2 linked regions of the Schizosaccharomyces pombe genome follow. The protein of the gene in region 1 binds, or shares a complex with, the protein of each later gene. Each region holds a gene or a part of one and is shown on either strand. Other genes may lie near its edges. The genes, in order: lsm2 and lsm5.

Region 1 (3,549 bases):
AAAAACACTTTTGCCAACTTAGCTAACGTACGCTCGAATGTCCAAAATGGAATACAAACTGTTTGTCAGCGTTTAGCATTGTAACTTCACTTACCAGATGATACAATTAAAAGTAAAACAGCCGAAATAGTGCATGTGGAATAGATGAGAGCCTTATTTAAGTTCAGATCGCCAGATTTGACGCAACCAAAGAGTATACAACAAATGATTAACCAGAGTAACCAAATTATAATCATCATTTCTCTTCTTATGTTGAAAAGGCCAATAGAGATCACCTTTACACATTGTGCCAAGAAAACTACAGTCACCTTTATACATTGTGCCAAGAAAATTACAGTTACTTTGACTGCCTTGATCCAAGTTTCATAGAAGTCTAATGAGTTAGTGACTGAAGGTAAGAATTGACCTATCGTGTCACTTACACCATAAAGAAATAAAAATCATTAGGCAAATAGCACACCACACTCCAAAATATACCCATTCATCTTTGCCATAATCTTTAAAGAGAGCGTCCTTATACGTTAGATAACAAACTGCGGGTACGTTTAGCACAAAGATTGAAATGAATGATAAAAATGCTTTTTTCAACGGAGAGGTAGAAGAATTATCTGCCGTCCCGGAAGAATGGTTTTCTCTATGTGTAATAGAAAGACTGTCTTCACCATAATCCGGAGGAGTCGTAGACTCGTCCGTATTAAATAAGTTAGGGTTGTTAGCTCCCATTTGTTTGGGATCCTTTAAATTTATATTTTCTATATTGTTAGCAAAATTCAATGGTAACTTTAGAATATTTTTTAATGGGAAAGGAAAAAAGAGCGTGCCCTGTTAGACGAATTTATACTCGTAATATGTCAAGTTGTAAACAAACAAACACAACAAAAACATTGTAAATCAAAACAAACAGACACAGCAAATAATCCTTGACACACTCAATTCTTTATCTTATCTACCAACAACACAACACTTACCTGAATATGGAGGCAATGTGCTCCCATCTTCTGAATTGTATTCTGGGAGAGGACCTTTTTCCAAATCAATTTCATTATCGTTTTTTGCACTCAATTCATCCATAGACGACCTCAAGGGGTAATATTTATTCTTCATTTTCTAACGACAGTCTATTATTTAATGATATACACACAAATAGTTCAATTGTTGTGATTGCGACAAACGAAACAGCAAAATCAAGAATATTCACTCTGTAGTCCAATTCCAATCGCTTTAAAGACTTTTTAACAAAATAATAAAATTGTTCAAACAAATTTCCAACTAATTCCTTCAAACAATGGCATAAAAAAAGAAGAACGAAAAAACTGAACGAGGCAGTGAATTGCTTCTGACACATTTATTTTGTCACTGCCCTTTTTATTCACCCCAACTTAGATTTCCTTAAAACGTTTTTGAGAAGCAAAACGTTGTAGTATAATATAATGTCAGCTACGCAATTTGGTATCTGCTTTAACGATTACATAGAACTGCGGTAATTTTTCCTTTGTGACCTATGATATTACAATACACAGGTACTATAAGTAGCAACTGAGTTTAGGTATTGTACTATCAAGTTGTATTGTTATCTATTGCAAATACAACTTATAATTGTGTAAGGAATGAGGTTTAGCAGTAACTCTATTTACGTTGTTTAGATGATTTGGATTTTAATAGATTATTGTTAAAATTAATATCAACATCGTATCATCTGCGGTGCGATATGTAAATGGAACATGTGAACATATAGTGACACTCAACGTACTGTATCATAACTAATCTCGGTGACAGCCTTAATATGATTTTTTGATTTCGTAAATCCTCGCAAAAAAATGTACGAGCTCCAACACAATACCGTGTAAATGGGCTTTGCCTGTACATGACACATTCTTCTGTTCGCTGCATCTTTCTTACTTCATCCAAAAGCGTGTAAAACGAGTCTTCTCCCGATTATAATGTTGTTTTACTCATTTTTTAAGACATTAATAGACACGGAAGTTACCGTGGAATTGAAGGTATGCCCCTACTTGGCTTTTTTGATCGCGTTATGAGGTTAACCAAACTATAGAATGATATGAGTATCCGAGGAATTTTGAAATCTGTTGACCAGTTTTTAAACGTTAAGCTTGAAAATATTTCTGTGGTCGATGCGTCGAAATATCCTCATATGGTATGCTTTGCAAGTTATCGGGAATTGAAAGAGAAATAAATGATTTCTACGATCGGTAGGGTTCGGTTTATTCATTTTATTTAGGTTTTTGATTGATTTTTGAAAAAAGTCTTGTCCAAATCGATTATGTACAACATCTTACATGAGAGGAACATGAATCAATCAGCTTTCCCAACGTATATGCTACATTCTCAACTTTTAAAATCTAGGTTTTTCATTAATTGAACAATTTAAGACTGATCATAAAGTGCGCCTCACTTTCTGAATTCTTCGATCTATCCTTTTTTTTTCGTTCCTACTCTTAACACTATCTCGTGCTATTATTCCAGAGTTATAACTAATAATTTATTAGGCTGCTGTTAAAGATTTGTTTATTCGTGGTAGCGTTGTTCGTTACGTCCATATGTCAAGTGCATATGTTGATACTATTTTATTAGCTGATGCTTGTCGTAGAGGTAAGCCATGATTTGTTAAACACTGAAATTTTAGCCTTATTAACTCACTGGTTTTTAGACTTGGCTAATAATAAGCGTCAATAATTCCTTTGAAAATTTCCTTTTTTTGGTCAATATATTCGGAAACCGTGAACTAATTGCTTATTTAATCGTAGTTCGGTTATTCATCATGTGTCCCATTGCGATTTTTTTCATGCCCGCAAAAGGAATATACATGTGTATATACATCATTTTATTAAGGACCATTGTTGTTTGAAGGTATTTTCCTCCCCTTTCATTCATCCATATTCTTACTACCTTTTCGCTTTTCTTTTAAATCCAGCTTCCCTATTATGCCTGAAACCGATCCCTTAAAATTACCGTTTTATTATCTTCAAAAAAAAAAATTAAGTAGAAAATTGTTGGCGTTTACATGATTTTTGTGTACGGCTTCTTCCATTAATATAGTTGATGAGACTTTGTCAATTATCATAAAATACATACATCGTTACATATCGGTTTATTGCTGCGAGAGGGAATTTTTAGCACTCATGCATCATTAGCAACAGAGCGTTTGTATTACTTTAAAAGATATCCACTCAGATTTGTGTTTTACAAGTCTAATTCTTCTTCCAATTTATTTTACTGATTTCATTTGTAGGATTCAACCGATCTCACCTTTAAGCCAATCAGGCACACTCTCTTTCATCGTTTTTTTAATATATTTTGTATTCTTTTAAGATCTTCCCAGTGAATGATACGATTTTACTTTTTTAGTGTTCTTAGTTTTATTCTAAGTTAATCATGAAAAACGTCTTCTTTTTAAAAATAATTGAAATGTTCAGTAGTAAGTTGAAAGTAAAATCGTATTTATCTACTACATACGGTTGAGCAGCATAAGTATGATATCGCATTTGCTGCCAACTACCTCACTCACCATCCACATGCCATCTATCATAT
Region 2 (3,467 bases), on another chromosome or scaffold:
GAAGAATCTCTTCGTTCTCTTCTTCAACTTCTCGGTTAGTAGTAATCTGGGATATTTCTGTAGAGGAATACTTATTTTGACTAGCCACTTCATTGATCAGATTAGTGCAGACAGACAGCATTACATTACTAGGAATTTCATCTGAATCAACATTAGACAGGGCATATTGAACAAGTTCGAGTAATTCCAAACGCTTGTCTGGTGGCTGCTGGACCCATATTTCTAACAAGTTAGGCAGGAACATTGCTAATTGTGATTTTGTCAGTCTCTCGCAAAATATACGAAGATGTTTTGCATTTGTTAAATTCCTTAACAGCGATTTGGTACCACAGACTGATATAATACGAAGCAAGATATCCTGAACTTTAGAACGTAAAGTTGTGTTCTCCTGTAAGTGCAAAAGACTTGGTACACAAGATTCACATATGCGAATTATATCATCGTTTTGAATGTAGACTAATACTTGAAGAACGTCCAATGCATTTTCAAATGGGGATAAATCGATGACTTTCGGTGCTTCGAGTATTTGGAGCTTTTTAAGAAGAAAAGAGGTAACAATATCACAATGTGTATTTGTTACAGCAATTATGAGTTGTGACGCTAATCGAGGTTGAGTGCTGAAAAGGCTCCAAACCTGAGGAAGAATACACGAAAAATATTTCTGTGGTGAGATATCCTTTGGAACAGATGAAATCAGATGAGCGGCCTGTCGTGCGCGTTCGATTGAATTTGGCTGTGCTTGCATATAAACTTTGAGAAATCCTTGCACGCCAGTTTCTCTACAAAGACAGGTAGTTAAATAATGTTTCAATTTATCTTGCAACCAGTTATCTACATTCGGTTGTAATAGCGATAAACAAGAAGAAATCATTTTAGATGGATCAACCATTTGTGGAGACATTATGCTCGTTACTTTTTCTTTCCATGAAGGGTCTAAAAATAAAGGCCTGGGTTCTTCAATGAGAGAACCTTGTTCATGGCAGTTCAACAAATATAAATGAAGCAACAATAAGTCGGCATAGTGAAGGTTAAGTGGACCTTGTAATAAACTTGGAGTTAACAATAAAGGAAGTAAAATATTGTAAATTTGGACCAGATTTTTTTTGGGGGTATAAATAGGTAATGCCTTAATTTTCGCTTGCGATAGCATTTCTTTGGGGAGTTGAGTATAAACACCAAGCAAAAATGTAAGATGAACAAAAAGCTGCAAACATCGTAGAGAGGTAACACTTAAGGGTTGGTCTGTATCCAACTTTGAGATTTCCTCTAGAAGATTGAGGAAGTAATTCAATAAATCACCACTTATATTATCCTTCAATTTTTCAATTACAGGACGAGAATCATTCTTTTGATTTAAAAGCTTCGCAAAATCTAATAACTTCTGATTTGCATCCATGCGGAATATTGCTTGTAAAGTTCACTTGCTAAGTAGTGAACGTTATAAGTAAGTGAAGGCAAAAAACCAACTCTTATACTTTCCGTACTAAGAAATAGCAATAGCAAATATTTAGAATATGAGAACCAGGTACGGAAACCTTAATTATTTAACGAACTTTGTGGCTAAAATATGTGGATAACTAATTCCTGATCGTAGCAATAAATACTTGGGGTAAGTTATAACTAGACAGCTTTAGCTTGGATTCATTCAAAGAAATGGATCGCTATTCGACAACTGTGTAATTTTGACAAACGACAAGACCAAAAAATAAGACCGAATAAGATGTCCACAGTTTTAATGAAACGATAACCTCTTATTTATAAAATCTTCAAGATTCCAATAAATGATATTCCCTTAACACTATGTGTTCAGGTAAAATGATAGCATGGTTCTTGTATAGTAGCAATTTATGTGAACTTGCAATCCACCTCCACCATGTCGATGACAATTTTACCTTTAGGTATGTAGATTTATTAGTACATTCTAAATTAGTTTCATAATAAGAAAAGGGAAAAATTATTGATTTATGCCCTGGGTAAATCTGTTCATGCTAACAAGCAGAATTAATTGATAAATGCATTGGATCAAACTTATGGGTGATCATGAAAAGTGAACGCGAATTTGCGGGGACACTTGTTGGATTCGATGATTATGTGAATATTGTTCTAAAAGATGTTACAGAATAGTATGAAATATAATAACTTTAATTATCTTTGCTAATTTCTATGAAGTGATACTGTTACCGGCGTTACCGAAAAACACTCTGAAATGCTTTTGAACGGAAATGGGATGTGCATGGTATGTCAATGAAAATAATAAAGGAATTTTTGTACACTAACTATCTAGTTGATTCCTGGTGGAAAACCCGAATAAGTTGGTACTTGGCTATTTAACAGTCTTTTGAAGATGAAGGAAGAGTGATTTTTGTTATTATCAAACAAATGGAGATATATTGCACGCCAAATCTAGCTCATACTGTGTGCACTCCATATATGGTAAAATATCTAGACCCAAGTCTCACTTTTTACATTAATTGAACAACAAGCGTTGGTAAAGCCATGTCTTCGGATACGGTTAAATTTGATCGAGTTATTTAAAGAATTTGATTGCAAAAATAAGGTATTTTATAGGACTGGTTGCATGTTTCTGAAATGAGTGATTATTCAAAAATAAAGGCTTAATACTTCCATCCTCCATAATTTTTCCTATTAGTGATTGTATCTCAAATTATACTACCAAAATGAATTGTTATTTCAGATGATGTAAACTGTGTTAAAGTTAATTGTTTGAATGTAATCTGACTGTAGAAATTGGCATAAACGGGATATGCATAGCCTACGATGATAGCAATTTTTCTTCTAATTTGAAAGACAACATACTAAACATTGATTTGAGTAGCCTTTACAGGATCTTACTATTCAAGTTATCTCTTCCAGCCCATCTGGTTGAATCATACTGACTTTTTTTTGTTCATGTTGGCCAAAATGGGGATTTATTATGATTATACACTGGAAAAAGTATGAATATTTGTTGTTTATCATTAATATAAACTAAAGTGACTAACCTTGTTATTGTAAACTCAAAATTTTGAGAATTAGTATCTTCAGCAGTTTTATGAAGGAAACGAAAAAGTAAAATTAAAATGAAAACGAAGTTTAATACTTTGGATTTATATATCTCATCATTTATACATTTGGATTATTAAGAAATTTTTGAATCCTCTCTTCCCTTATCCCTAAATAGTTAGAGAAAAACGACAAAACTCAGCTAAAACCATTAAACTTTTTCGTTTTAAATTCCAATCTCGTTGCTTTTAGGACTTGACTTTTTACATAGATGAAAATCACTATCGTAATGCTTTTGCTTTTTTTCTTTGATTTCTTTTTTTTGGCAGATTACAGCCGTCTTTCAATATAAACGCTATATTACTACAGTCTTTGTAAATATTATCTACTTGGTGCGCAGGCCAACCCGATTATATACTTTGATTTAAATCCCATTTAGCCTTAGAATTTTCGTAACAATAGCT

What was found.
Region 2: lsm2 (region 1) and lsm5 share a complex: the UniProt entries of both Schizosaccharomyces pombe proteins name them as parts of the heptameric LSM2-LSM8 complex.

The regions. Positions count from the first base shown.
Region 1 is NC_003421.2:2,143,316-2,146,864, reverse strand, and holds lsm2 (U6 snRNP-associated core protein), read left to right. Parts: upstream 1-1,879; 5' UTR 1,880-1,940; coding exon 1,941-2,000; intron 2,001-2,053; coding exon 2,054-2,155; intron 2,156-2,507; coding exon 2,508-2,610; intron 2,611-2,668; coding exon 2,669-2,694; 3' UTR 2,695-2,916; downstream 2,917-3,549. Other genes in the region: wtf meiotic drive antidote Wtf23, read right to left, coding at 1-58, 95-373, 423-752, 969-1,104; putative signal recognition particle subunit Sec65, read left to right, coding at 3,534-3,549. UniProt on the Schizosaccharomyces pombe protein: Component of LSm protein complexes, which are involved in RNA processing and may function in a chaperone-like manner. Component of the cytoplasmic LSM1-LSM7 complex which is involved in mRNA degradation by activating the decapping step.
Region 2 is NC_003423.3:3,299,431-3,302,897, forward strand, and holds lsm5 (U6 snRNP-associated protein Lsm5), read left to right. Parts: upstream 1-1,864; 5' UTR 1,865-1,873; coding exon 1,874-1,898; intron 1,899-1,999; coding exon 2,000-2,123; intron 2,124-2,169; coding exon 2,170-2,236; intron 2,237-2,284; coding exon 2,285-2,311; 3' UTR 2,312-2,705; downstream 2,706-3,467. Other genes in the region: RNA polymerase II nuclear import protein Rtp1, read right to left, coding at 1-1,396. UniProt on the Schizosaccharomyces pombe protein: Component of LSm protein complexes, which are involved in RNA processing and may function in a chaperone-like manner. Component of the cytoplasmic LSM1-LSM7 complex which is involved in mRNA degradation by activating the decapping step.